Pelodiscus sinensis: one gene and its partners. The protein of the gene in region 3 binds, or shares a complex with, the protein of the main gene of each other region. Links are inferred from orthologs where the notes say so. Each region holds a gene or a part of one and is shown on either strand. Other genes may lie near its edges. The genes, in order: KBTBD2, KLHL25, CUL3 and KLHL22.

What was found.
Region 1: CUL3 (region 3) and KBTBD2 share a complex: the UniProt entries of both Homo sapiens proteins name them as parts of the BCR(KBTBD2) E3 ubiquitin ligase complex. The link is inferred for Pelodiscus sinensis from reciprocal best matches to the Homo sapiens genes CUL3 and KBTBD2.
Region 2: CUL3 (region 3) and KLHL25 share a complex: the UniProt entries of both Homo sapiens proteins name them as parts of the BCR(KLHL25) E3 ubiquitin ligase complex. The link is inferred for Pelodiscus sinensis from reciprocal best matches to the Homo sapiens genes CUL3 and KLHL25.
Region 4: the proteins of CUL3 (region 3) and KLHL22 are in contact, whole or in part, in a cryo-EM structure (PDB 8K8T), measured with the Homo sapiens proteins. The link is inferred for Pelodiscus sinensis from reciprocal best matches to the Homo sapiens genes CUL3 and KLHL22. Residues at the interface, in NP_003581.1 of Homo sapiens: Thr14, Arg17, Ile18, Arg19, Ala20, Phe21, Pro22, Met23, Met25, Asn49, Ser50, Gly51, Leu52, Ser53, Phe54, Glu55, Tyr58, Tyr62, Leu66, Met118, Asp121, Ile122, Met124, Tyr125, Arg128, Val129, Gln133; in NP_116164.2 of Homo sapiens: Asp73, Tyr74, Arg76, Gly77, Met78, Gly81, Gly82, Leu83, Lys84, Glu85, Leu92, Ile93, His94, Leu117, Gln121, Val125, Cys128, Gln129, Gln131, Pro133, Trp146, Glu150, Asn151, Asp154, Val155, Arg157, Leu161, Phe162, Asp163, Ser165.

The regions. Positions count from the first base shown.
Region 1 is NC_134712.1:171,548,553-171,556,565, reverse strand, and holds the start of KBTBD2 (kelch repeat and BTB domain-containing protein 2), read right to left. Parts: upstream 3,011-8,013; 5' UTR 2,542-3,010; intron 2,509-2,541; exon of another isoform or gene 1,780-2,508; intron 1-1,779. Other genes in the region: uncharacterized protein LOC102448486, read left to right, coding at 6,017-6,164. UniProt on the Homo sapiens protein: Substrate-specific adapter of a BCR (BTB-CUL3-RBX1) E3 ubiquitin ligase complex that acts as a regulator of the insulin signaling pathway, modulating insulin sensitivity by limiting PIK3R1/p85alpha abundance in adipocytes.
Region 2 is NC_134724.1:13,993,959-14,001,444, forward strand, and holds the start of KLHL25 (kelch-like protein 25), read right to left. Parts: upstream 3,009-7,486; 5' UTR 2,789-3,008; intron 2,366-2,788; 5' UTR 2,321-2,365; intron 1-2,320. UniProt on the Homo sapiens protein: Substrate-specific adapter of a BCR (BTB-CUL3-RBX1) E3 ubiquitin ligase complex involved in various processes, such as translation homeostasis and lipid synthesis.
Region 3 is NC_134720.1:16,974,713-16,982,111, reverse strand, and holds the start of CUL3 (cullin-3), read left to right. Parts: upstream 1-4,398; 5' UTR 4,399-4,733; coding exon 4,734-4,799; intron 4,800-7,399. UniProt on the Homo sapiens protein: Core component of multiple cullin-RING-based BCR (BTB-CUL3-RBX1) E3 ubiquitin-protein ligase complexes which mediate the ubiquitination and subsequent proteasomal degradation of target proteins.
Region 4 is NC_134725.1:6,512,895-6,519,777, forward strand, and holds the start of KLHL22 (kelch-like protein 22), read right to left. Parts: upstream 3,005-6,883; 5' UTR 2,866-3,004; intron 2,503-2,865; exon of another isoform or gene 2,479-2,502; intron 2,105-2,478; 5' UTR 2,052-2,104; coding exon 1,825-2,051; intron 473-1,824; exon of another isoform or gene 346-472; intron 105-345; coding exon 1-104. UniProt on the Homo sapiens protein: Substrate-specific adapter of a BCR (BTB-CUL3-RBX1) E3 ubiquitin ligase complex required for chromosome alignment and localization of PLK1 at kinetochores.

The DNA of each region.
Region 1 (8,013 bases), on a different chromosome or scaffold from region 3:
TGAAGAATTGAGTCCTGAAACCTGAAGACACCAGGTAGATTCTGATACTGAAGGAGGACATGGAGTTCCAAAGACTTAATGATGGAATTGAGACGACACATGAGCAAGAGTCTCTGAAATATTATACACACAACTTTTAAGACATTCTTGGACTAGGGATGTGAACTAGTTGACACTCTTTCGACCAGAAAGAGGTAGTGGGGGAGACGGGAAAGAGGAGGGGGGTGCTTCAAAGTGGCAGCACCGCATGGAGCCCAGAGCCAACAAGGAGTTCCCAGCTAGCCCTGGGCTGCACGCAGAATTTCCAAGTGGCAGCACGGTGAAGAGCCTGGAATCAGCAAGGAACTACCCTACTGACCCCAGGCTCCATGCAGTGCTGCTGCTTTGAAATGCCACAGGGAGCACAGGGCCAACAGGGTAATGCTTGCTACACTTCAAAGACAGAGGTGCCCTTATTGACTAACCGAATAGTTGATCCAAACTGCATCAACTAGTCAATTGGCCGATTAATCTAAATTTAGTATCCCTAGCTTGGACATTACACAGTGGTTGCCAATTTCTTCACTGTCTTTTGCTCCTCTGCATGGAGAAAAAGATATTAGGAGGAAGTATACCTTCACAAACATGAAAACAAGAGAAAACTGCCAGCTTAGTGTAGAGATGCGAATGGGCACCTGGTTAACCATACCAGGTGATGCTTACCGAGTAACGGTTAACCAATGCCCTGGGAGCAGCCCCCTGCCTGCTCCATCCCCACCATGCTCCCAGCCAGCACCCACGCCATCAGCTGGGGGCTGCTCCAACCAGGCTGGAGTGGTTCCCCTCCCGGGATCCCACTTAGTCAATTAACTGGTTGAACGTCAGGTTAATCTAACATACAAAACAGGCCAAAAAAAAAAATCACATCAAGAGGAGACTTTCCATCACCAAAAGACATCAGAGACAGCAGAGGGCAGGGAGGGGGTAGGGGAAGCTGCCATGAAGCATCCTGTGACGCATCCTCTGCCCACAGCAGGCCAAGGCTTGTTGCAGGCAGAGGCTGCTCTGGCAGCAGCCTGGGCTACCTGACCCAGTGTGAGCTGGGACGGAGCAGTCCAGGCTTTTGCTAGCTCCAGAAGCTACCCCCACTGCTGCTGTGCAGAAGTCTCCCCTTATCGACTAATTGTGTAGTCGATAAAAATTGTATTGCCAAATACCCACTCCTTAACACCCTTATTTTAAATAATGAGCTCCAAACTACTTAACTACAGCATTCTTGTGAGCATCTTTGCCCTTATATCCTCCCACCCTTAATGAAGTTTGGACAGGAATAGCTTTATTTAGTCTCCAGTTGAGTCTTCCTATGTGGATTTCTGAATTAAAGAGACCAAGCAAAATTTTAAACATGTTTTTGGGCTTTCATTAATATCATGAAGCAGCAAAAAAGTAAACAGGTCTTTTTTTTTGGGGGGGGGGGAGATGAGGGAGCTTTGCAGGTCCCCTTATACAAATACAAGAATTAGCAGAACTCGGGTAGTGTTATAAATCATAACCTAGTTTCATTTTTTCCAAAAGTAACTAGTACAGGTGTCCAATCATTTTCTGGTGAGCTGAAGGAAAAATCTCGGAAGCAAAATGTGATGCACGATGAACAACAACTAACGCACATCTTGTGCTAGGCATATTACATGTTTAAGCTGTGTCCCCACGTCAGAAAAGGCCGCAGTATTTTAACCCCCAAAGTCCAGCTAAAGCTGAAGCCGGGAACAAGTAATCCCTCAAGTTCTCCTCGACACTTACAAACACTGAGGGAGCCGAGGCGTCACCGCCAGCAGCAGTACGGTGCCCAGCTACAATGCGATGCAACGCCGGGATCACTTGGAGACGAGAGCAGCGCCATTACCTCCAAGCGCCCTTCGCCCCAAGGGTCTAGAGCCGCTTCACAGCCAAGAAGCCCTAAAATCAACGTCCCAGCCCTTCCCCAGCCTCTCCGGAGAATGGGTGTCAAGCGCCCGGCCCCAGCCCGCGCCCGGCCCGTGACGACGCTGGGTTACAACAGGCACCGCAGAGCCCGCGCGTTCGCTCCTTGGGAGCCTCCATCTCGCCAGCGCCCGGCAGGACCCCGAGGGGCCGCGGCGGCAGGACAAGGGGAAGGCACGCGAAGGCCAGACACAGGCGCGCGCGCCTCCCCCGGGCCCCGCCGCGCAGCCTCCCTGTTATTGTCTGACCGCTCGGGCGCCCCTCGCAGCCGCAGCGTCGGGCGGGGACACCCCGAGCCTCCCTCCCGGGGGCCGCACCCAGTCACAGGCCGCTCGGCAGCGGCGCGGGGCCCTGCCGGCCAGGGAGCATCAGCGGGGAGGGAGAGGAGCGGGCCTGGGCAGAGGCAGGAGGTGACTCCCCGGCACCCGCTCAGGCTGCCCAGGCCGCAGCGGAGCGGGCGCTGCCCGAGGGCGGAGGGAGCTCGGTGCGGCGCGATGGCAGGTCCGCAGCCTCCCTCCCTCCCGGGGGTAGGGGGGGGGGAACAAACGCAGCCACCGAGTCCCGCCGTCTGCCCGAGCAAACCTCCGGCCGCCGCTTCCTCTTCAGCCTCAGCGCCTGCGGGGAAGGATCCGGTCAAACCCGGGCTGCGGACGGAGACGGTCGCGCGCGCGTTCGTTCGTTCGTTCTGTTCTCACCCGCCTCCCTCAACGTCCGTTCAGCTCGGCGGCGCGCCCCCCCGCCATCATGCGCGCGCGAGCTCGGATGTGGGCGGCAAAGGAGCTGCGCTCCCGCTAGCCCGCCCTCCTCGCGCACTTCCGTCCCTCGTGCAGAAGAGCAATCGAACCCCTCCCCTCGCTCGCTCGCTCATCTCGTCTCGCGCATGCGCTGTTTTTCGCGCGTTGGCCCGGGGCCTGCGGAAACCCGACTGTTTTGGGAGACTGCGCAGAAGCAGGAAGTTGGTTTTGCGAGGGTTGCGGGCAGGGCGGTCACGAGTGCGCCTGCGCTCCAATCAAACCGGCGGGCAGGGCAGGCGTGAGAGAGAGAGAGGGAGCCCCCTAGCGGCAGGCGGCGCCCATCTCAGCCCGACACGTTGAGGTGCGCGCTGATTCCCGCCCTCGCCCACCGCAGGAGCTCAGTGCCCCGCCCCCACTTTCCCCGCCTGCGCGTCTCTGCGCTGCAGCGCGCCAGGCTGCTCGTCCCGCGGGCGCAGATGGTGCTGTGGGGCAAGCGGGAAACCCCCGCCCACCCGTGTGGCCCGGGACTGAGGCGCTCCTGGGAGCTGGGATTTGAAACCATCGGAGTATTCAAAACAATAATAAATGTGCCGCGCTGCGTGTGCGTTTGCCTTGCCCTTCCCCCAGGCTTTGTCCCTCCCAGCTTGCCGCCGCCCGGCCGAGCTGGAGAAGCAGAGGGGGAGGCTTGTATCATCACTGGCCTCCAGGAGCTGGGGCCTTGAAAAACATGGACAGGCTTGGGATGAAAAGCGGGGGCAACAGGGCCGCTAAGGGAGAGGGAGCGATCGAGGAGAATGATATGGTGGCTCCTGCCCCTGCAGAGCTCAAACTATGGGGCTGCTGTAGGAGAAACAGGCAATCCCAACAGTGCCAGCAGACAAGCGAAAACGTTTAAGAGAAATAGAAATGTAGCCCTGTTAGTCTGGTGTAGCTGAAACAAAATACTGGACTATGTAGCACTTTAAAGACTAACAAGATGGTTTATTAGATGATGAGCTTTCGTAGGCCAGACCCACTTCCTCAGATCAAATACATTTGATCTGTAACATTTGTATTTGATCTGAGGAAGTGGGTCTGGCCCACGAAAGCTCATCATCTAATAAACCATCTTGTTAGTCTTTAAAGTGCTACATAGTCTGGTATTTTATTTAAGAGAAAGTTCCTTAGTTAGGCTATGTCTACACTTCAGTGCTATTTAATTGCATAGCATATTTTGAGCTAAGAATGCAGTGTACATGCACCCTGAGGGTACCTCTATACTACACACTTATTTTGAAATAAGCTATTCCAGATTAATAGTTATTCTGAAATAGCTTATTTCAAAATAGCATGTCCACACTACAAGGAAGCCTCAAAATTAGTCCTAATGTTGATGCGCTATCTCGATTTACAGCCCCAGGAAGCACTGGGGAGAAATTACTTAGAATGGCCCTGGTGATGAGCTATTTTGAAATAGCAGCGGTGGAGTCCATACTGCAGCTATTTCGAAATAGTTATTTTGAAAGAGGAATTATTCCTCATACAATGAGGTTTACATAAATTGGAATAAGCTGCCTGTTATTTTGAAATTATTTGGAAATAATGGGATTGCTGTGTAGATGCTCACATTGTTATTTTGGAATAATGGTGTAGTGCACCGTTATAGACAGAGACTCCTGTTTATCCACATCTCTCTTTTCATGGTAGTCAGTCTTTCCCACCTCACAATCACGTTTTAATTTTCCTCTCACTGCCACTGCCACAAAGCGTAAGTGCTCTATGCTTCATTGAGAAGATGTCTCAAGTAGTGAAGTGATAAAATTCCCACAAATTTTATACAGTCACAGCAGGATTTGGATGCCAGTCATTTTCTATCATTCATTTTCATACATTTCAAGTGCTGAAGTATATTTTTTTGGAGCAGACACTTCTTTCTTAAGTAGGTGGAAGGTGAATTTCAACTGTTCATATTTCCTTGTGTTGACATACAAACACTTAATCTCTTTCTTTTGTTAGTATTAACAGTAACCAATAAAATTAGGCACAAACATTTTTGTGCTTTCTAAGGATTTTTTTCAAAAAGAGATTCTGTTTTGAACTATAACTTTAAGTGTAGGATAGATCATATTTTGTTTTGACCTGCTATTTACATCCCAATTGTTTTACATATTGAATATAAAGAGAATGGAAATGTTTGCAGGATTTGGGGTACTGTTATCTTGAGTCTTCTGCCCAGGGGTTGGGACACTTGCTGCTCTTCCTGCCCCCTCCATTGGTTACAACTCCCACTGATTGATAGAAAAGGTCCCTGCATCACTGTTAAATGAGCCACAGATGGTGAAGGGAGTGGACAGTGGTAGTTGTGTTCCATAAACAAGGTGAGAGGAAGGTGTGGCTAGTCTCTTGCTGGGCTCTAAGCAGCAGCATGGACCTTAGTTTTGGAAGGGCTTTCATCGGGGAAAATAGCTTACCTTTATAGGGCTTGCTTTCTTCAAAGCAAATCCTTTTGGGTGTGTGGTTTAGAAGAGTGCGTGCAATAAGGGAAGTGTGTAGGTTCATGGTGGCTAGTTAAAATCTGTTTTGGGACTGTGTACTAGATGGAACTGGGAGTGACAAGGACTCTCTCTGCTCTGAGTGTTTTTCTTTCTCCTGAGGAGTGAACTGTGTACAAAACTGTAACAGGTTGTTCAATTTTTGTCAATTACTTTTTTGAAGTCTCTAGTTCAGTAAATGTATGCCTGCTTCACTTCATACCAGCTAGTGCTAACTATCTTTCTTTCTAGTCCCCCTTTACCACTTTGAAGTTAACTGACCAGTAGGGTGCTTCTTGTGCAGGTTATTTAGAGGCACCTGGTGGCATGTAATTTATAATAAAGCTTAACTCTGCTTATATAGAAAATCTAGCTGAGGCTTTGTTTTGGCCTTCAGTGTCAGTTTTAACTGAATATAGAGATAGATGCTTGTTGGGGGGTCTCTCTCTTTAGTTTAAAACAAATCTAAAGATGAACTCTGTGCATAAAGACAATCTTGCTTTTTGTCATGTGGCTATCTGGTGAAACAAATGACAGCTGAATGCTGAACTTTGCTTGATAGTAAAACTTGTTTTACTTTCTAGCTACTACTATGGCCTTTGTAGCTTCTCCCCTAATGGTGATAGAAATGAAAGCAAGTAAAAATCTTCAGGATAGAGTGAGGTGTACTAGTATGGGACTATATATGTTTGTTTTTTAATATAGATACTTTAATCTGTTCATTGCAATACTGTGACTTGTTTAGAAGGATGTGCTAGTTAGTAGTCTTTAAAGTGGCTAATTCTGATAACTTTTTGCCATTTCAGCTTAAAAATGAACACTGCGCCAGCTTCAGAAAATGGGCCATATTCCACAAACCACACAAGACCCTTTTTTTATGCACAGCCAACAGCACAACAACCTTTCCCAAATCCATGGTATCTCAGTAATGTGTATAATCCATACTGCGTTCCTGCACCTGGTAAGGCAAGATTGAGCTGACTGAGGACAATGTGTTTGAGTTACTGCCTGAGTTAATGAAATCCCTGTTTCATAGTGAAGCTTTCTTCACCTGTTGTGTAACTCTTGTATTTCCCCTAATATGGAGGCTAGAATTAGTGTATGAAGTAAAAGTGTCTTTCTTACAATGTGTTCCTATCTATTTGTTCAGCTATATTATAAACTAGTGTTTGTTGTCTGTTCTGTTCATGAATGGGGCAACACCAAATGAACTGAACAAGTTTCCTAGGAAGAATCTTGTAAATGGAAGCCGGCAGTTTCAGCAACTGGCAATAATAGCAAACCCCATTTGAATCAGGGACCCCTACTATATTATTTGTCTATGAGGAATATAGAGTAAAATCACCTTGGCAAACATCCATCGAGACAGAAAACCTAAGTGAAAACTGAACTTCAGTATAGTCATGACTCTGATACCTTAATGGCTACTGAGGGAGTACCCTTCTGTAATAATTGCCTATTCTTATTTACAGGCAGTCCCCGGGTTACGTACAAAATAGGGACTGTAGGTTTGTTCTTAAGTTGAATCTGTATGTAAGTCGGAACTGGCGTCCAGATTCAGCTGCTGCTGAAACTGACCGCCAGTTCTGACTTACATACAGAATCAACTTAAGAACCCCAAGCGTCCCCAAGTCAGCTGCTGCTGAAACTGATCAGCAGCTGATTCCAGGAAGCCCGGGGCAGAGCAACTCTGCCTCGGGCTTCCTGTAGTCAGCGCTGGTCAGTTTCAGCAGCGGCTAAATCAGGACGCCTGGGGCAGAGCAGATGGGGTGCTGCTAGGTTGGTCCAGTAGCGCCCAGAGCGGCGCTGCGGGACCAACCGGCAGCACCCCAGCTGCTCTGCCACAGGCATCCGGAGAAAAGCCTAGTCTGCTGGGGGGGGGGGAGGCCTACTAGCTGTGCCCCCCCCCCCCACCTCAGCAGACCAGGAAGACGCGGGCGGCAGACCGAGACGCACCGCGGTCCCGCCGCCTGGGTTCTCCGCGGCTTTGCTCCCCGTCTCCCTGGTCTGCTGGAGACCAGCAGACCAGGGAGACGGGGAGCAAAGCCTCTGAGGGGGACAGCCGCGGGGTGTCTGGGCTGTCCCGCTGCCGGCTTCCCCCGCGGCTTTGCAAAGCCTTGGGGAAGCCGGCAGCGGAGCAGCCCAGGCGCGCCTGGGCTGCCTTGCTGCCCGAGCCCCCCCTCCCCTGCGGCTTTGCAAATCCGCGGGGGGGGCTCGGGCAGCGAGGCAACCCAGGCGCGCCTGGGCTGCCCTGCTGCCGGCTTCCCCGAGGCTTTGCAAAGCCGCGGGGGGGGGGGGGCTCGGGCAGCCCAGGCATGCCTGGGCTGCCCCGCTGCCCGAGCCCCTCCGCGGCTTTGCTCCGCGTCTTCCTGGTCTGCAGACAAGGGAGACACGGAGCAGCTTTTCTCGCCCGGAGTTCACGGGCGGCGGCACCGCGAGGTCCCGCAGTCCATGTACTCCGGGGCAGCCCCGTTCGTAACTGCGGATCCAACGTAAGTCGGATCCGCGTAAGTCAGGGACTGCCTGTACTGTGCTTGGGGGAATGGGCATTGATGAACAGACTGACCTGCCAAGGTCATAGGGAAAGTGTGGTAGAGCTGAAATGAAACTGTTAGTGAACTTCCAGACTCCAAACATGAAACTGGTTGGAGACACTTCTCCTACTGTCGTATTTGCTAAAAGGCTTCATGTCAGAGCCTGAAGTGTCAGAGATTAAGTGCAGAAAAATGTCACAGTAGCCATAAACAATGCTCAAGATGTTTAGCTAAAAACTAATACCTATTCTCTCTTGGGTGCTAGGATAATATGAG
Region 2 (7,486 bases), on a different chromosome or scaffold from region 3:
ATGGTCCTTTCTGGCTTCCCCCCCCCCAAGCATCTCATACACTCCGCATGCCCATCAGATGCTGGCAAGGGCTCACTGGGGGAGGGGGGGCATGCAGAGTGATTTTTGGTCTCAGGCTGCCCTATTGTCCTTTCCCCTCCGATCCCGATCCCTTGTTTGTTGTTGTTGGTTTCTTTTTTTTTTTTTTTTTTTGGAACTACGTCCAAGAGTGTGACGGAGAAACTGAGAGATTAAAGCTGCCGCCTCTGCGGTGGTCCATGAGAACTGAGGCTGGGACAGCCTGTTCTTTCACTTGCTGTTTTTACTTTGAAGTTGTAAAAACTGATCAATTAAGGGAAATAGCCCGGGGTAGAAGGTAATTAAGTAGCAAAGATCTGTGAAGAGAGAAAATGAAGGAGGCGAGAGAGGTTAGAAGTCCGTCTGTGGCCGAGGGCAGTTGAAGAGGAACTGAGGGGAGCGGAGGGGAAGAGAATCAGGGCTGTCACAGGAGGCACCTAATGGTCAAGTGGTGTGAGGCACCTTTTGTGTGTGAGCTGCCCAACCGTCAACTGCTAAGAAAAATTCTGATCTGCGGCTCCGGGGACCACTCAACACCAACAGAGGAGCATCCATGGGGATATCACCTGAAGAAGAACAAAATGTTCCTATATCAACAGGAGCCAGATTCTGGAGAAAAGAGACCAGGATGGGTTAACATGAGTTGGAAAGGGAAAATTAGAGGGGCAAGGAGAATAGGTAGAGACCTGCAAATTCGCAGATATCCATAGCTTATTTTTACCAATATGAACGTGGATACAAATTTTGTATATAGGACAAATTTATGGCTATCCACTTTATATCTGCAGGTATAGACATCCACATATGTGGATATCCGTTGATCACTTTTGCAGATGCGGATATGGATGGAAATTTTGTATCCACACAAAGCTCTACAAATAGTCAGTACAAGATTCTCCCACATGTCCCCTCATCATACTTTGTGCCTGCCCTGAAGATACCACCAATAGAATGGAAATCACTAGCATTTGCAGGGGTTCCATATTATTATTTGCATAACACTGTGCTTGGTGCTTTACAGACGGACTAGGGGCAGCATGACAAGCTGGGAGAGATAAGGGAGGTCGGGGGCAGCGCAACTGGCTGGGGGAGACAGGGGAGGTCGGGGGCAGCGCGACTCCCCATAAAGCAGCCAAGCGTCTGCAAAGTGGCAGCTGACGGGGAAAATACCTTGGACCCCCGCAAGGTATTTTCCGTATTATCCGACATTTCGATTATCCGACCATCCTTTGGTCCCGTTTAGGTTGGATAATCGAGACTCTACTGTAACTATTTTGATATTAGCGTTATTCCTTGTGGAAAGCAGGAGTTATTATATCAAAATAACCAGCCCATTATTTCGAAGTAACGGGCTTGGTAGTGTGGATGCTCTGCTTGTTATTTCGAAAGGAGACCACAGCAAAGGAAGAAGAGAGATTAAACAAGCGGGCTGTCTCCATATGGAGAGGTATCCCTGACGATCAGATGGCTCCTCCTGAAAGGAGTGATTGTATGAAGCTGTTTTCTTTGGTGTAAAGAAGTCTGAACTCAAACAGTATTAATGGGCTTATGAAAAATAGAGCTGTAACTGTTTAATTCCTAGAGAGACCCAAGGAAGGGCAATGTGACATGGCAGACGCTGTCATAACAGAACAGGACATAACAATCAGTCCATTTGAATCAACCATTTACACAAAATTGCAAACTTTCAGAATTGTGTTGCTGCTGCTATTTCTGCAGTTCATTATTTTATCAGGAAGATCACTGGAGAAGGATCCAGAGAAATATTTAGAGGCAAACAAAAAATGAATAAACACTGTATTCTAGGTGTGAACAGTCACTTTGTTTAAAAAAAGCCCAGTGCCCCAAGCATTTGTTAAATATTTCACTGCTAACATTCTAAGTGTATACAAACTGTACAGAGCTCCAGGATTATGAGAACAATGCACCCAGTTATCCCGACAACATGCTGGGTTCACACTATCACCTAATTGTCTGACACCATATTGTTGAGTCTTTCCAACTTCTCGCTGCACATTTTAATAAACTTGTAAGAGAGAATGATTAAACAGTGACGATCTGGACTTGACAGACAACGTCTGACTATTCAGGTGCTCAGACACAAATATTTGTAGTACACTGAGCAGTTATTATAGCGCATCTTGAGCACGAGGGTTAAGTCAGAGCAAACGGATTTTTCTTCCTAAACCTCCCCCCAACCTTAAACTCCAATTTGTAAAATAAATCTCCATCGATGCTCAATAAAAAACACCAGCCTACTCACCCTTCCTCCCCTTGGAAGTGTTCTTCCAAGCTTTTCCAAACACTCCTGAAAGAGGGAAAAGATATCAACTAATCTCTCTCTGGCTTTCTGCATTAACTGCAGCTACTTCTTTCTCAAAGCCTCTTTAAATGACTTACTGATTACGAGAAAAAGCTAGCAAACCATCCTCCCCTTCCCTCAAGTGTCACTTTGCCATCAACCACACGCGGCATCCAATATATGGAGGACTGCCCCATTCTCTCCCCTCCTTCCTAGCTGAGATCTGCCTCGCTGATTTCCCACTCCCCCTTTCCGAAGCACTCTGCAAATGACATGGTTAGCAACTGCACAGTTTGTTGCTCCCTGTCCTGCGCTATCCCAGGCGCTGGGAACTCGCTCCAAGAGCCAGGAGCCTGTGTTCACCTCTCTCCGCACGCATCATGCTGCTTCGCTGCCACTCGGGGGAGCCGGGTCTGCACAGATACTCACAGGTCAGGAATCTGCTCCAGGGCTCCGAGCGTGTCCCCAGGTCACGCTCGCTCCTCCGCCGGGCTCGGGCCCATTCCGCCTCCCCAGGTAACTTTCACTCACTGGATACAATGTAACCAGAGGCTTGACAAGAACTACTTTCCCAGCTGGAGGAGGAGACATCATCCAGCAGAGAGAGAGAGGGCGACCAATCAGCGCCGCCCTGTATTGTGACAGATAGGAGCGTCGGCCATAGGTGCGACTCGTAGAAGAGAGAGGGTGAGTGACAGCGGAATCCACCAATTGGATTAGAGGAAACTGGTGACGGGCGGAGTTAAGGAATAGGGTGGGGCTGAAGCAGCTGGACCCTAACCCCTCCCTCCCCCGTGATTCTTAAAGGTAGAGGAGCCTTTGAAACAGCCTTGAAGGTGCGAGGCCAGCGGACACAGCACGGGCAGCCGAGGGAGCTTTAGCATATGGTGCAAGAGCAGCTGGACTTCAGCGCTTCCTAATTCCAGCTTGTCCTCCAGCGCAGCTCTGCCAGCGCGCCTGAGTCTGACCTGTTAACCCCCCCCCCGCCTCCTTCCTCCGGCTTTCTCAGTGCTGGGCAGCGCTTTCATCAGGCTCTGCAGCCCCTTCTGCGATTGCACCTGTTGTAACACTCTCCATCAGCCCCCTGTGCTGCCTCCATCACAGCCTTAGGAATTCTGGGGCCCTAGGCAGGGCTATTCAACTGGTCTCCCTATGCCCGACAGCCCGTTGGGGACGGGACAACAGTTTAAGAGCTGTGATTTTATAACCTTCAGCCACACAAGAAAGAAATATTTTTTTTAAAAAATGTTAAACGAAGGGCCTGTCCATTAACACAGTAAATTCAGAAACTGGCCGGATATCCCTGGCCTTGGCCAATGCTTGTTAAATGGCTTCCTTGCCACTTGAATGGCTCTTTCACAGGTTCCATGTTGTGCTAATAGGTCAGGCTGGCAGGCTTTGTCACTTTGAACTTAGCTAGAGCAGGGGCGAGGACCCTTTTTTGTGTGGAAGGCCACTGACCTACAGAAAAACCAGTTTGGAGCCACATGAAAGTGAAAAGTGGGGGGGGGGGGGGAGGAGGAGGGAGGAAATCCTCACAGACCTGGTCCCCCAGTGAGAAGGAGAAAAATACCCTCACTGACCATGCAGAAAAGATACTTCATTCCAACTCCACTGGGGGGAGAGGGAGGAAAGGGAGAGCCAAAGCTCAGGATTTTCCCCTAGGTCCAGAGGATAGTAGATTCTGTGAGACCTCCCCCCAAGCTTTGGGGTGGGGCCTAAAATGAAGGATTTAGTGTGCAGAAGGGGTCTGGGAGTGAAGGTGCAGAGGTCTGTGCAGGAGGGGGCAGGGGCACATGTGGCTGTGTACCACCTACACTTGCAGGAATATTCCCGGTCAGTGGGCTTGATGGGGGTGGAGCCTGCAAGCAAGCGCAGGGACAGAGCTTCCCTGCACTGCGATGCTGAGCTGCTTCCTCCCACTCATCAGGCAGAGCCTGTGGGCCAGATGCAGCTGTGCCTTGTTCCAACCCAGAAGGCTTGAGACTCCCCCTGACTACATTGGGGAGCTAGTTTTGGCATTCCAGCCGTGCAGGGGGGCACTGAGGCTCATAGACTTGCTGGGTGGGTGGAGTGCCAGCTCACCCTGCTGCAGTTGAATGGAACCCCAAACCTCAAGGGGCCCCATTCCTGAACTAGAGCGTCTCTGGAGGATGCAGAGGCGCAGAAGAGAGATAAGAAGAGGCTGGTGCATGGACATAAAAGCTATGTCTAAACTACATCCCTCTTTCAAAAGTGGGATGTAAATTAGTCAGATCCAAAGTGCAAATGAAGTGGAGATTTAAATATCACACGCTTCATTTGCATAATTGCATCACAGCGTTCTTTCGAAAAGTCTATTTCGAAAGTGAAACTGCCATCTGACACTGGTCTTTCAAAAAAACTCCCTTTTTCTAAAGATCCTGTACCCCGAGGTGGTTTCACTTTCGAAATTTAGAGGGCCACATCTGCTTCAAAAATAGGCCTGGGATGCTGGGCTCTATTCCTGTCTCAGGCTATATCCACACTACAGGCTTCTTGCAGAAGAGCGCATCCACACTGCAAAAGTGCATTGAAAAAGTGATGCGCTTTTGGCAAGAGAGCATCCAGACTCCAAGGATGCTCTCTCTAAAGGAAACTCAGATTGCTATTTACAGAATGGCCACCAGGGCACCTGTGCTTTTTTCGATTGCCTCTTTTTGTGCAAAAAACCCCGTTTCCCATCCACACACACTTTTTTGCTCAAGAGTTCTTGCACAAAAAGGAGTATTCTTCATAGTAAGAGGAATACCTACACTGGAAAAATCCCTCTGCTCTTTCGATATTTTTGTGCAAAAATGCACGTGAGGTGTGATTGCTCCGCAATGTGATCGCTCCTGCAATGAGGAGCAACGGTAGTTCTAGTTAGGAGCTTTAATTTGAACTACCTAGTCCGTGCTGCATGTAGCTGCTGGCAAGGAGTTCGAACTATGGGGCATTTCAAAATGGCGGCGCCCAGGAACATGCAAATAAAGCCTGGGATATTTAAATCCCGGGCTTCATTTGCAAGTTCGAATGCCTACATTAGCCACCCTAGTTTGAACTAGGGTGGCAGTGTAGACATGCCCTGAGAGTTTCCTGTCATAGTTACTTATGCCTCTGCTTGTCCCTGTTTTTTGCTGGGGTGTGTCTAAACTACATGCCTCCGTCGACGGAGGCATGTAGATTAGCCAGATCGGCAGAGGGAAATGAAGCCGCGATTAAAATAATTGCGGCTTCATTTAAATTTAAATGGCTGCCCCGCTCTGCCAATCAGCTGTTTGTCGGCAGATCGGGGCAGTCTGGACGCGACGCGCCGACAAAGAAGCCTTTCTTGATCGGCACAGGTATGCCTCGTGAAACCAGGTTTACCTGTGCCGATCAAGAAAGGCTTCTTTGTCGGCGCGTCGCGTCCAGACTGCCCCAATCTGCCGACAAACAGCTGATCGGCAGAGCGGGGCAGCCATTTAAATTTAAATGAAGCCGCGATTATTTTAATCGCGGCTTCATTTCCCTCTTCCGATCTGGCTAATCTACATGCCTCCGTCGACGGAGGCATGTAGTTTAGACGTACCCCTGGTGTGTCGCAAAAAGATACTGCCTGCAGGGCCCATTCTGAAGAGAGTGGGAAGAGGAAGAGATGACTGATAAGAGGATTAATTGAAGCAACACCCCAATAAAAAGCTATATGATAAAATACAGTCCCATATTTCCTCCTGGGTAGAAATGGGATAACATGTAGCTACAGTTAGAAGGGACTATGTGCAATAAATAACAGCTATAGCCCATCAAAGGGTGTGCGTGAAAGTAAATTGAAAGAACGCGGCAGTTTTTTTAACCACGGAAAACCTCGTTTTACGAGGAATAATGCCTTTTTTGGAAAGTGCTCTTTTGAAAAAAGGCGCTATGTAATGCAAACTGCTTTTTCGAAAGAGAGCATCCAAACTGCCTGGGTGATCTCTTTCAAAAAAGCGGCTTGCTGCATTGTAGTCTAGATGCTCTATTTCGAAAGAGGCTTGCACTATAGACGTAGCCAAACTGTTTTAAATCCTTGCTCCCTGCGTTTGCCCAGGCTATACAAGATTGGTGAAATTAACTAAAACTCTGTCATTTCCCAGAAAAGCTGCTGCTTCAGAGGTCTGTGTGTTCCAATGGGTGAAATACCCTGTTAATTAGGTTAATGAGCTGCTGTGGATCTCAAGCAGAATCTCGAGCAGGGTGACTGCTGTTGCACCCAGAAAACATCTGTTTAACAATGGCACAATGCAACATTTAAAGACAAAATGAAACTGATATTTCCCTTTGCAATTGAGTCTTGTCCAGCTGCTCCAGACTATAAAAGAACCATCAAGGAATGTAATGTAGTAATTGTTAATTCTCAGCGCAATTTCCAACTGCTGCCTACTCTAGCTGGCAAAGTCCTTATCTCCTCAAGCTGTGTGTGAACCCAGACTGACATCCATCCTTTTGTAACTGAGAGAATGGGGAGGAGTGATTCATAGCAGCTGTCAATGTGGAGTCCTGAGAGGATGGGGCTACAGAACAGGAGTAATAGCCCTGAAAACCGATAGACTCCTTATCGTGATGGGGAGGAACCTGTTTATATCTTTAGTGGTAATGAAGGGAGCATGAGGACAGCAGGCAGCAGGCCTAGGCAGTGTGGTGATGGGCACAACACAAGCACACAGAGAAGCAGAAAGCCTGACAGTGAAGCAAACTGCTGGAGTGAATCTGACAGAGAGAGCTGCACCTGGGGGCACCTGACAGTACAGGAGACAGTGAGGAGGGCAGCAATGGGAGGAACCAAATGGAAAAACAATCCATCTCTTGCCCTACGGAGGATTTTCTAAGGACTCAATTGAAGAGGAAAACAAGAGCAGTTCATCACTAAGGGAAGAATGGGACGCTGCTTGAGATGGCTATAACCATTCCATAGTTTAAAACAAGCACCTTCCAGTGATCTAGAGCAGTGTTTCTCAACCTTTTTTTTTATAAAGTACCCCTTTAAAAAATTATAAGTACCCTCAATACCTACAGTTTTTAGAGACATACATTTTTTTCTACCATTGCAACACATTTGTTTATAAACAACTTAATCATAGCTAATTAAACATAAAGCTGATTAAACTT
Region 3 (7,399 bases):
TTTATGCTTTTACTGGATCAAACAGACCCCCTTGATATCAACAGAATTGTTGGAGTTGGGAGAAGTATGGAGGGATGAGGATTGGTCAATAAAACAGCAAAATAAAACTTACCTCATTGTGTCATTTTTTACTAATCATGTAGTGACTTCAAAGGAACTTTTGCTTGTCAGGACTGCAGGATGAGATTCTAAATGTGATACATTGAAAACAAGCTACTCCCCATCCTCCCCTTCTCTTGAGCATACAGGCTATTACACAGGTTTTGTTGTATTGATGGTGTTATACATATCCTCAATATATCACGCAAAATTTGTGCAAAGCCTAAAACAAGCATCAACACAGACTGATAATTGTATTTATGTAACTAAAAAGAAATATGACTTTTTGTTCTTTTAAATAAGAATCTCTTCCTTCCACCCTCACATAGGCAGCTGCCTTTCTGAGTTTCCTTTCAAATGTAAAAACTTGAAAAACAATGAATAGTCTAGCAGCACCTTAAAGACTAACAAAACATGTAGATGGTATCATGAGCTTTCATGGGTACAACACACTTCTTCAGATGAAATGTTGAATGTTATAGAATGAGACCATGCTAATACACTTTCTCGGATTTTTTATTATTCTGATGCAACCCCTCACTGTGTGGATAGCGCCAAAATTCAAGTTAAGATTCTTCAATTTAAGCTATGCAATTACCGTAGCTGAAATTGCGTATCTTAACTCGAACTTATCCCCTAGTGTGAACCAGGGGTATCTAGAGCAGGAATTTCTGGCCTTTGTACTCAGAGCTTGCACACGAGTGTGAACTGTGAAGGGGACTGGAGGCAAACAGAGGATAAAAGTAGTCACAGTAGATAAACTTGAGCCCCATTATGGAAGGCTATTTTTCCCAAAACAGTTATTACTTTCTTTATTGTAGGAATATTTGATGATGTATAAATAAGATAGCTGGCATTGACTAAGATGGGCGTTAGGGCTACTAGCCATTGATAAGTAAATCCTGCCCTTCTTCACACACTCATCTCCCCTTTGATGGACACCACTAGTTCTTACGAGCAATTCCAATGATCTCTTGTGTGAGCACAAGACCCTACATTAGCAAAACTGCTTTATTCCTCCTAGAGATGGGAGCAGAAATTAGAAGAGTTCTAATAGGGGAGTTCTGTGCAGCTACCTGTTACAGAGCTGGAATGCAGAGAGGAGTGAACAGCAAGTTTCATATGAGATCCACTGGGCTGCAAACCTGCATGGGAAGAACCTCAAGCAACAATCTCTACTTGTAATAATTTTACTAAGTAAGAACCAGCAGTATTATTGAGCCTTCTATGATACCAAATGATCATACATTGCAAAGTTAAAGAAGGTTTCTTAAGAGGGCCAACATGGTTGTAACTGAATTTTTAAACGATGATCCCTCCTCTAGTGACATAATCAACCATTTAACTGACCTGAGTGGACCTCCAAAAAAAAAAAAGAGTATTTATGAGAGCTTGGTACGCTTGGATAGTGAGGTTGCACTATGTAGGGTTGCCAGGTGTCCGGTATTGAACCGGACAGTCCAGTATTTTTGCCTCCTGTCTTGTAAAAAAAATTCAGAAAATGTCCAGTACATTCTGATTTTTTTCCCAGGTAGGAGGCGAAAATCCCATTCTGTCTGGCTCAATACGGAAGCAACCTGGCAACCTTAGTGCTTACCGGATTCCGCAGGGGAGCTGTCCGGCCTGGCACAGAAAGGCAAGATGGCGGGTGGCCACCGGCAGCCTGTTAGGGCCAAAAGGCCTCACCACGCGGTTTTTAAAGGGTCCCCGGGGATTTTTTTTTCTTTTGCTTAACAACTCTCAGGGTCCTTTTTTCTGGCGTGGGTTTTTTTTTTGGGGGGGGGGGGGAGGGGTTCTGGCAACACTAGCCCTATGCATAAGGGAACAGTATGAAAAAAGGACAAAAACAGTATTCGAACGTGTTGTGCTAGAGCAGGGGTGGGCAATAAGCATCCCACAGGCCTGATGAAGATTACCAGATGCTTTATTTATGTGCAGATATACAGGTAAATCATCTGGTGGCCCAACATGGGCTAACCCTAGCAAACTGTGTATGGTCTGCAGGCTGCTTACTGCGGGCTCTATGCTAGAGCTATCAGCAGTAATGCAGGTACCTGCAATCCAAACTGCAATTTAAGGTAGGCTCCTTCTCCCAACCATTTGAACTTCTTGGAAGCAAAACTTTTAATTTAGACTTAATTGGTTGGTTTACTAAGGTCTCAAATGAGGAAGATAACACTGAAATGTATGGACACTATTTCTTCATATTGGAAGTTAGAAGGAAAACTTTGCCTCTCCTACCACTTGACTTTTTGGCTGTTAATGAAAAGTGGTTTAAGAACTAGACATTCTTATTCTAGAAACTGTACTTTTCAGAAGGGTTGAATGGCACTGTACTTTAGTCATGCTGAAATCATTAGAACTTTTTTTTTCTGTGCTCCTGTTATATAATTTTTCCATTCAGTGTATACGTAATTCTGAACAGGAGATTAAAAACATACACAAGAGGCACTTACATTAGTTTTAATGCTAAGTATTTGTTTTTAAGATGAAGGGAACAAATAGGTAAAGAAACTCTTACAGAAGACAAACTAGCTCGCAGGATATTTGTGCCTGTGTATCCTTTGTGCCAATATTTTAAAGGCATTTCTAGGAAATTGCCGAATAGTGTGATGATTTTAGTGTACTAGACTGAAAAATGCCTGTGAAAAGAGGAATTATGCTGTTGCAGGTAAAGTACAGATTGGGAACTGAAACAGGAGTTCTGTTCCTGTCTGTGCCACAGACTTCCTATATGGGATCTTGGGCTAGTCACCTATGCCCAAACTTCAAGTGACTATTAACTTTTTGTTTTTGTTCTTGAGTGACCCACCTGAAGGTCAGATGTGCTGAGCAACTGACTCTGCCTTTGACTTGCAAAATATATTTACAACATTTGATACTTTATATAAACTGTCCTAATTTGAGAGTGACCTATATTTAGCCTCACTCTCACACAGGGATTGCCTCAGGTGGCATCCTCATTTCTCAAGCATATATTGTGATTACTAAATTTTAAAAAGAGAAAACAATAACTGCATTTCAACATGACTATGAGTCTCGGAAGGAGTACAACACCCATGAGTGCCATGACTCAGTGAGCCAAAATTAACAGCTGGGAAACTTCAGGTTGATAATGGAAAAGGGACAATATGTCTGTGCAGTTTTTTACTTGGCCTATCTTTTAAAGAGACTGTTTGCTTTTGCTCTCTCCACATAGATTTGAAAGGAGTTATGGGCCTATGTTTAAGGCTGCGTCTACATTTGACTTTGTTTCCTTCAGTTTGCCCATCACTGCTACCATTGGGTGTTCAGCTATTATTACCAAATTATCAGCATATGAATAACCATCTCAGCACAGGTCTAGCAACCTGATGGCTAAAAGCTTTGTGAATGCTGGCACCTACCTAATTTATGCTAACAACTGAGTCACTATTACCATTGAGGATAGCTATATAGACCAGTGCTTATTCTGATTTCTTTATTTAAAGGCTCCATGGTGACAGAGCCTTGGTCACATTCTCAACCTTTTCCCAGTCCTTTTTTAAAAAGAAGAGTTGTGAGTCTTTCATAGTCACTTGAGTCCAGGAGCTGTGACTTTAGAAAAACACCTATTGGCATGAAATAAAAGGGAAAGAGCTGGCAGGTGGCTAGCCTAGACAACACCATCCTAAGGTCTGGGCATGTTGTCCACATGTGGGGCTCTAGTTCTAGCTGGGCCTGCAATGAGTGGAAGTAGCACTAGGCCCAGAGTGCAGTGCGGATAGTCCCAAGCTACGTCTACCCAACAGTGTTACTTTGAAATAACTGACATTATTCCGAAATAACAAAGCGCACAGCTACGTTACAAGCCTTTATTTCGAAATAATGGCGGGCTGGAGGCCGTCTTATAGCGAGGGCTGTACCCCTCAGTCAGCAGGAGTAAGGAAGTGGAGGGATGAGAGCTCTTCCTTCCACTCCTGCGGTGGGGACAGCGCCAAAGCCCAGTTAAGCTATTTCCACTTAAGCTGGGCAGTTGAGGTGGCTGAAGTTGTGTAACTTAATTGGACTTTAGCCCTGCTCTGCACAGGTACCATGGAGACCACGCCCCCGAGGCCCCACAGCAGCTACTGCTGCTAAAGCCACCACTTTCCCCCAGGCCAGCCGTGGGACCCCCTCTGCGTTCACCCCACCCGACTGCGCTGCGCTCAGCCAATCAGCGGCTGCCTTTGCCCCAGCGCGCTTTCTCTTCCTGCCTTTGCCTCCCCCCGCCCCTTTGCAGCCGGTGACAGCTCCGAGCGAAGTCTCGCGAGAGCAAAGCAGCGGGGGGGCCCCCACCCCCTCGCCCGCCCTCCCCGCCGAGCTCCTCCCCGCGCCCCTCCTGCCGCCGCGGCCGGATCTGTCTGTGGGGTGGGGGGGCGCTTGGCCCTGCGCACTGAGCGATGTTTGTCCGCCATCGCGGCGGAGGAGGGTGAAGGAAACGCCGCCGCCGCCGGAGACAGGGGCCTGCGCCGCCGCCGCCCGGAACCTCCCGTCGCCGCCTCTCTCCTCCCCGCCCCGCCGCCCCCGGGGCCGCCGCTCGGAGTGAAGGTCGCCTGGGGCCCCCGCCCGGGGTCTCCCCGCAGTCCCCCCCCCCCCCCACCCCGCAGCAGGCTCCGCTCGAGCCGGGTCCGAAGATGTCGAACCTGAGCAAGGGGACGGGCAGCCGGAAGGACACCAAGATGCGGATCCGAGCCTTCCCCGTGAGTCCCCGGCCACCGGCTGCGCGCCAGGCCCCGGCCTCCGTCCGCCCGCAGGCCCCGCGGCCGCCCGGTCTGTCACCCGGCTGCCCGCGGGAGGCGGGCTGGGGAGCAGGGCTAGAAACTCCGGGCACGGGGTTGGGCTGGGGGCTGGCGGGCGGGGGACACGCTCCGTGCCCCCATCTGTTACCAGCACAATGAAACCTGTCACCGCGGCCGAGCGGGGGAGGAAGCACCGGCGCGGGGGGCGGCGGCGCGGGCCCTTGCTAGGGTCTGGGACCGGCACTGGGGGTGGCGTCGCCGGCGCGGGCACTGGCAGGCGGCTGGGTGAAGGGGAGGCAGTTTGGGCACTGACCGCGGTTTTGGGGGGATGGTTTACAGACACTGGGAACGGTGAGGGAACAGCTCGGGCACTTACTGTGGATCGGTACTGGGGAGGGTGCATTACAGCGAGTGGGGACCCTCCACAGCATGAAGCATGTGGAGGAACCCATACTGGTGGTAATTCTTCCCCCTCAGAAGCTGTGTGTTTATTATAGTCATATGTTCCGAAAATATATTTAATGCCATTTCCAATTAAAGGCTTTCAGACAAGAAGCTACAAATGCACATAAACAAAAAAAGGAGTCTTATAACTCTATCTCTAAGCTAGTTTTCCTGCATATGGGAGATTTTATTTTGCAGGTATTGTTGGTCAGATGGTAAAACGTCAGGTGACAGTGTAACTTTTCATAGGACTGCTAGGATATATCCAACTCTGAGATTGCCAGTCACTTTAGTTATTGAGCAAATAAGACAGATTATTAATTTACACTGCTGTAAAACTGCTGTGCTTTGACAGTTTCTTCAGTTGAAGCTTAGAACAAATGAATGTGAAGACTGCTGTTAATGGTTTCCAGTATTACAAGATGTGTGGAAACTTCAGTCATTTTTAGTGATTTCCTGCAAAAGTGTGTGTGTGTGTGTGTGTATATAATATGTATATAATAAAAAGGAAATGCTCTATTGAGTCACTAGCCTTTAGTATTTATCTTAACTTTTTGTTACACCTGACCCAGCTAGCCAGTGGCAAACAATTATAATAGGTTGCTTTCATGAATAAACTGGACATACCTGTTCACATCTGTTCACCAGCACATAATATCAGGGAAGACCTGCTTAGCCAAAGCTCTTACCAATGAAGTTGAAAACTTTAATACTTCTTTAAATTGTTGGAAGTTATCTGTAGGTATTTGATTCAGCTGGATAGCTTCCCTCTTAAACTCTACTTCTAGTCAACAATAATTATTTATGTTGAAGGAAAAAAAAGTGTACTGTGAAGTAAAAGACTAGAAAGTTTTAAGTCAGGGTGGGTATCCAGTACATGGTTTGTTAGGGTTAGGTGCTGGTGGACTGCCAGATGCTTCGTTTACCTGAGTGTCCGCAGGCATAGAGCCCCCTGGCCCACTCCCAGTGGCGGCTGTTCCTGCTGTTCGCATTGGCAAGGAATAGTGAACTGCTGCCACTGGGAGCTGCCGGGCTTCATGACTGTGGATGCTCAGGTAAACAAAGCATCTGGCAACCTTCCAGTGGCTAACCCTGATGCACCTCATGTGGCCCAAAGGCTGGAGGTTCACCACCCCTGTTTTAAGTGGTGTGTGGCTGGTGATCTCCAACAGACATTATTGATTGTTAATAATACTCTTGTTCACAGCATAAACCTCATATTATCAGAACATTTGGAGGGCGGTATAGCAAAAGAATAGCTGATAACTTGTGTACTATAGTGGATTATCATACACCATTTTTGTCATTGTTAATGTTTATCTGTTTTACAGCAAACTTCTTTTCTTATTAAATCTAAATTCTGGCAGTCTTTTAAATTTGGCTAATAGGATCCATGCAAAATCTCTTTACGTATGTAGATGATGGTAAACTAAGAAGGGTTAAACAATGACTAGAATAAGTATTATTTTGCTTTTTATTTTTTGAAAGTTCTTGTAACTAAGCATATAAAATGCGGTTCGTGGGTGAAGAATGTTCATGTGGAGCTCTGCTTTCATAAGTGCTGAGAATGCTTGATATTTTTTCACCCCTCAAAATGCTTCTTGTTAGCATTGTTTTAGTTTTCCCTTTTTTGGGTTGTTTAAAGAATGGATTACAACTATCTAATTTATCTAATTATCTTCCTTTAAAAAGTAACACTTTTAAGTATATATTGACATCAAGGCCTCCAAATGCCAAATAGAACCTAACATCTGTTTATAGTATTTTTTTTAAGTTTTGCGATTTTAAAATAAATGTCCTTTTTTGCAACCAAACACAGTAAAAAGTTCACAAAGGATTTTTAACTGAAAAAGGGCATGTTAATGAATGACAATTTTTCTCTCTCATAATTATTTGCATGATAGTAAAATCTTAAAAACTATCACTCTCTCCAAAACCTATAAACATTTAGGCACGTGTGTAATTTGATTGGTTCATTTCAATGGACTCTTCATGAAGCTATATTTGTTTGCAAGACTGGGACCTGTATTTAGTATTTCCACCTTTTTTGGCTACTGTTTTCTCTTTTCACTTTCTCCAATTCTGATGCATTGTTCTGAGTTTTGAATTGTTGATGT
Region 4 (6,883 bases), on a different chromosome or scaffold from region 3:
AGGTGTAAATGAAGCTCAGGATTTTACACATAGCATTGTAGGAAACTCCATGAATATGAACCTCCTCCTGTCCCATCTCTCTTAGCCCACCAGCAAACATGCCTCTGTAGAAAGAAAAAGATACAGACGACACTGGAGACGTGCCAAAGCTATGTACAGTTCAACCCATCTTAGCCATACTGTTCTGGGGTCACCCAAAAGAGTCAGACAGACAACTGGACAGACAGCTTTGCAAAGCCTCCATGTCTGTTGCCAAATCCAGTTCTCCAGGAATTATGCCAGGCAGTACAGTTTTCAAACTGGAAACCCAGAGCAGAGCCTTTTCAGAATGCAGTGAAGACACACCAGCCAGCTAGTTCTGAAGATCCAGAAGGCAGTCAAGCTTTGGATAACCAGCTGTACACCTATTCTCCTTGTGCATCCTTGCATTAGTTTAACCTATAAATGGCTTCCTCATACATCACTGGGCACCCTGGAAAGCATAAAAATCTCCCTCATTAAATGAATTAAAATGAATAAAAGCAATATAGACTTCTGCATCCCACAACGGGGTCGTTGTCTTTAAAAGATGTTAGGGCTCATGTTATAAGCCCTTGTTTTAAAGAAGTTTAAAACATATGTGGAAGTGTGCTAGCCTGGTGACAGTGCTTTAATGCTACAAGTATAAGAGGGGTCGCCGTGTTAGTCTGAATCTGCAAAAGCGGCGAGGAGTCCTGTGGCACTTTATAGACTAACTGAAGTGTTGGAGCATAAGCTTTTGTGGGCAAAGACGAAATTTCCACTACCTGCATCTGACGAAGTGGGTCTTTGCCCATGAAAGCTTATTCTCCAGCACTTCATTTAGTCTATAAGGTGCCACAGGACTCCTCGCCGTTAAAGCTACAAAGGACTTATTGATTCAGATGCCCTTGCGTTCTCATCCAGAGAGGGCTGGAGTGATAGGGAAGTGAATGCACTGAGTTCAGAGGTGAACAAGCCCATTAAGTGTCTACATTGCAGGTCTGACAGACTTTGACACGTTGAAGACCAATCCCGCCTCCCATCCACAAAGTCCTCAGGCACGTGCCTGTATGTTCTCAGCACGTGCGCTTGGTGGCTCATCCAGGGATACAGGTATAAGCTTGTCTCACTGTACCATATTTCTACCCTCCCACTTTGTGTTGAAGACAGAGCTAAGAGTTTGCGTAGCTAGGTTCATGCTGAGACAGTCCATCAAAGCTGTCCCACAATTTCTGGGGCCTGTGTGTGCTGGTTTTTCTAATTCCCAAGCCCCTACTCACCTCAAGCAACCCCAGCTTCCAGAGATGTGAAATTTGTCAATGCACGGATGGTATAGACAAGGCATGGGCATGCATAACACTACAGCGCATACGCGTATCAGCAAGATGGACAAACACAGCCTCACAGGCAGAGGTGCCCAGACACAGTTATATTATGCAGCGTAGGCATACTCTGAGCTGCTAGGAGGAGAAAGGAGTGACTTACATCGTTCAATTGCAACCTACCCACAGCTGAGTGGACGGGGTCCCTAAGGAAGACCCATGCAATCCCTGTTTGGAATGATAATGGCTGTTATGTCAGGCTTTATGGACTGAACAACTAGGCGTTGTTTTACTCTTTGAGTACAAAGAAACCGATTTGCTCTAGATGTGATCAGAGCTGAAATCTGGGAGTGTGTGTTTTGGACCAGTGTGACCTTACTCCAGACTTGGGGAAGCATGGGGAGTCCCAAGGGCGAAAAGACAGAAGTCCAGCCAGGATTCAGAAGGTTTGAGTCATGGAGAAAGATGCTGGTTAAAGATTAACCAGTGACATGGCACATACCTGAAATAGTCACACGATGCAGCCAGAAGTATCCGATGAGCTTCAATGGGTTTCCCTTCCACTACCAGGACTACATCAAACAGGATGCCACTATCTCGGAGGGAGACCAAGCCGCTGAGTAAGGACTGGGAATGCTGTGCACTGCGGTACGTGTGGCTGCTGCATTGCTGGAGGGAGGTCTCCCAGGGAGTCTTGCATGTCTGAGTCAGCTCCTGATCTTCTGCCATCACCAGTAGAAATGTTCAGAACCTCACAGCCACCAGTTACAGCAAGATGAGTTCTGAGACCACAGAAATAGCCAAAGTTTGCGTGTGCTGATTCCCTCGCAGCATTTTAACTCTTACCGCACTGAACAAGCGGGTCCGCTCAGTGGCGGTACCACGCCGTTTGCAAACCTATTCCATGACTGCTTTGAGAGGCCCTGGGGAGCACGGCCTCTGTTAGTTTTTCACACCCCTTGAGAAGAGGTTTAAATAGAAACCGGGAGCAGTTCTCACATTACCATACGCACTTTCCCCTGGAGGTACCATCTCGTGGCTGCTGGAGAGGAGCCACATGCACGCGGATGTAACTGGCGCTGCTGCCACCCTCCCAGACCTGCCTCCTGCCGTTTCTTTCCCCTGCAGGCGGCTGAGGGAGCGAGCCGCGTCTCACCACAGCCTCAGGCGCGGCCAGACGCCTCCTGGTGCCTGCTGTGGGAGCCTAACCCGGCCATGCCCGGCGGCGCGCTGGGGGCCCGGCCTGACTTTCTTTCTTTTTGGTTGTTCCGCAAGGAGCCCGCTGACTCGCCCCTTTAACGCGGGGCCCGAACCCGCCTGCGGCCGCGGGGGCGCGTGTAAAGCGGGGGGGGGGGGGGGGCAGAACCGGCGGGAAGCGGCTCCTCCCCTGCAGCCCCCCCCCCCAGCGGGGCCGGCCGCTCTCCCGCCGCGGGGGGGGGCGGCACCGGGCCTGTCAGTCACTCGCGGGGCCAGCACTGGGGGGGCGGGGCGCCGTTATCCCGGGGGGGGGGGGGCGCCCCTCCCCCCGCAGCGCTGCGCTCACCTGCCGGCAGCGGCGACCCCGAGCCTCCGCCTGCCCCAGCGCCCGCCGCCCGCTTCCGGGTTCGCCCGCACCATCGAGTCGGGCCAGAGCGCCCTTCCCACGTGACCGAACGGAGCGCGCGCTCCCCCCCCCCCACTTAAAGGGACCCGCCCCCCTGGCGCGTGTCGTGTCTTTCGAACGCGTGTGGGGCGGGTGCGGCGCCCCCTGCAGGAGGGGCCAGGGCCTGGTCTGTGCACAGCCGGGTCCAGCCCTTCCGCCCCCAGGCCCTGCGGGGACCCGGTGCATGGTCCGGCAGGGAGCGCCTTGGAGCGCCTCCCTCCGCAGCGCCCCGTATGCCGGCAGCTCCCTTTATCCACCCGCGAGGCCGCTCCGAGCCCCCGGAATTCTACCAGGAACGCCTCCCGACCTGGAAGCGCTGGCCGGCCACCTGGTCCGTTGTGGCCGCCCAGGGAGCAGACCTCCTCACGGAGCCCCTGCTCCACAATCCCGCCTTGTGCGTGCAGGTGTGGGGTCTCCCACGGTGCGCCGGAGACTGAGCCTGGCAGAAACCACCATGGTCAGAGACCTCCTGGACTACGACAGGGGGGACGGGGTGGAGCCCTGAGTGCTCGCTCGGTGCATGGGGCTTTCCACCCTCTGAACCCCCCCTGCGCATACTCCAGGAGGTGGAGGCGGCTTTGTGGCGGCCCGCTCTCAACCTTCTGCAGCGGTCCCTGCGAGAGGGTATGCCCCGTCCCTCCTGCAAAGCCTCCGCCCCTTTTATTGGGCCCCTGTTCCGCGCCCCCCCCCCCCCCCCAGCATCTCCACCCCTGGACTCCCAGCCGGCTGCAAAATCTGTAGCCGGTCTGTTTTCGGACCGCGCCTAGGGAACAGCTGTACACATTCGTGCTGCACACTCTGCATTTCCCCACCCTCGTGTCCCGCCCCGATACCAAGTGGCAGGACTATCTAAGATCCGTTGAGGGTGGGGGATCCCGATGGGCCAGTGTGTATTCTACCTTAATCCCGCGGCCCATCGGAGACATCAGTTGGCGGCTTCTTCACGGAGCCGTGAGCCCGGGCGTGTACTTGGCGCGGTTCACCCCCATCCCAGACACCTGCCCTTTCTGCGGCGTGAGGGAAAACCTGGTGCACACATATCTCAAATGCGCCAGGCTGCAGCCCCTGTTCCGGCTCCTCCAGAACCTCTGATGGAGGTTCTGGCTGCACTTTTCCCCTCACCTTTTCATTTATGCACACCCTATCCGTGGCCCCACAAAGTTGCGAGACCTCCTCGTCAACCTCCTCCTGGCCCTAGCAAAAGCCGCTATATATAATACCAGGAGTAAGATGTTAGACGTGGGGGTTCTCTGCGACTGTGGGGCCTATTTCCGTTCCTCCCTTGTGTCACGTATCCGGGCAGAGTTCCTTTGGGCGGCGTCCACTGGCTCCCTCGATAGCTTTGAGGAGTAGTGGGCGCTGTCCGGAGTTCTCTGCTCAATGTCCCCATTTGGTTCCCTTAGTTTGAATCTGTGACCCGCACCCCTTGATCCTTTCGTCATCAGTTGTCCCCTGTAATCAGTTGGACATGGGTCCAGTTGTCCCTCCTGTAAGGCTGGGGAGGGGCTTTTAGAACGTGGGCGGGCTTCGCCTGCCCACCTTCCCATGGTTTTCAAATAGACCCCATGCACCCAGGCTCTTCGCCCGCAGCGGGCTGCCAGCCAGCGGAGCAGAGACTTGTGGGTGGCAGTCCCCACACCAAGGGCGGTGCGGTGCAAAGGCGCCTGCCTGCCAGCCCCACAGCCCCTTCTCCCCCCCCAGAAGAGAAGAGTGCCCGTAACTGATTTGTAAAGAGGGGGTGCAGAGAGTCACAGAAATCTCCCCATGACGAAACTATCTGTCCATTGACTCTGGAAACCCACCATATTTTCACAGTGCTTGGCTGCTTATTTCAGAACATCCTGAAATAAGCAGCCATGCACTTTATTAACATGCAGTTATTAGAGTAGATTTATTGGGACTGAGGTGATCTACATATTTAAGAGCTTCTCTGCAGCAGAGGCTTATTACACATTAATTTTAGTTTGTGCCAATGGATTAAAATGACCTGAGTACACACAGTTCGTAAAGCATACTGACTTGCTAGTTAATACGTATGGAATAATTCACTTGCTGGTGTGTATTAAATTAAAATAATTTAATTGCATGTTAATTCAGCATGCATGAATACTTGTGTGAATGCATTGCTTGAGTCATGCTAGTCTTAATGTAATCATCTCCTGTCTGGATTTCTATTTCTACTCTGTTAGACATAACACTACTAGTTACATCTTTTGAAATCTGTTCTTTTTACAGCATCCTATTAAAGTTCTTTGTCTGCTTCACCTACATAATCCACATAAAGCCCTGCAGAATGTTCCCAAACAGATATCTTTGCTTCACTTTTTCTCTCACAACTTCCTCTGTTCTCTGACTTTGCCAACCATTTACTTTGTCCCTCTCTTCTCCCATTTTTGGAATCATGATGTTGTTTCCTGACCCCTTGAGTCTCTAGCAAAGGAAAAACTGACTGACATGCTTACTGGGGAATGGAAACAGTGAAAATGACAATGCAGACAATGGTGTCCTATGCACAAAGAAAAAAAAATATAGGTTTTCTTTCTAATGTCTTTCAGTTTTAATAATCTAAAACCACAGGCATGAAAACACATTAAGCTCAGTGTGACTAATTTGCATGTGTAACAATAAGCATGTGTGTATGAAGAATTGGGACATTAGATATTCTCTGTGATTTTCAAAGGAGACTAAGGAAGCTATGCACAAATCCCTTAATTTCTTGTCAAAACCTCACCCATTACCTATAATTCTATTGTTCGAAGTTTCTACAGTGACTGGTCCTATCCACAGGTGCCTTACTCCTAAATATGCTGCTGTTGCTTTTAAGTGAATGACCAGCAAAGTCAGAGCAATTTGGTTGACATTTTCCTTATGAAATATGCTTTTAAGTGTGACATTTTCCCCCTCTGCTTCCTCAAAGATTAATTCTACAGTGTCTTATTTGCGTCAGAAAAATCCCATTACCAGATTATCACTCTTTACTTCCAACTTGCCTGCCAGGGAATGTATTTTCGTTTCCTTTTTCATATTTTTATGTATTATAATTACAAATCTATTAACATGCTATCTGCCTACAGCTATAGCTCTGAAAGCTTTGTATGGCTTCCATTTTGTAATATGCATGTGGATGCTCATACTTATAACATTATCAAGGTGCAACATGTATGGCTGCTTGTCTCAGAACATTTGAAACAATATCCTTTGTGGCAGAGTATGGGAGTGGGGGAGTCTATTGAGACTGGGCTTGTTGCTCATTACACTTTAAAATGTCTTTAAATTTCATCCTGATTGGCTGTGTCTAGACTGGCCAGTTTTTCTGGAAAATCAGCCGCTTTTCCAGAAAAACTTGCCAGCTGTCTATACTGGCTGCTTTAATTTCTGCAAAAGCACTGACTTTCTACTGTAAGAAATCAGTGCTTTTTGCGGAAATACTATGCTGCTCCCGTTCGGGCAAAAGTCCCTTTTGCGCAAAACTTCTGCGCAAAAGGGCCAGTGTAGACAGCTGAGATTTGTTTTCCGCAAAAAAGCCCCAATCGCGAAAATGGCGATCGGGGCTTTTTTGTGAAAAAGCGCATCTAGATTGCCCACGGACGCTTTTCCGCAAAAAATGCTTTTGCGGAAAAGCGTCTGTGCCAATCTAGACGCTCTCTTCCGAAAATGCTTTTAACGGAAAACTTTTCCGTTAAAAGCATTTCCGGAAAATCATGCCAGTCTAGATGTAGCCATTGTGTTTAAATCAACTGGAACTTGCATAACTAGAATTTCATTTTGAAAAGTACATGGAACCTGAACTATAAAAATACCGTTGATTGTTGCTCCCTAGGAATGTTTCTGAATTGTTAGAATGTCCTTTGGGTCTTTCCGTTTTCAGTTTTCAATTTAAATGGACGATAGATGTTAAAAGCACCTGAAGGAAATAATT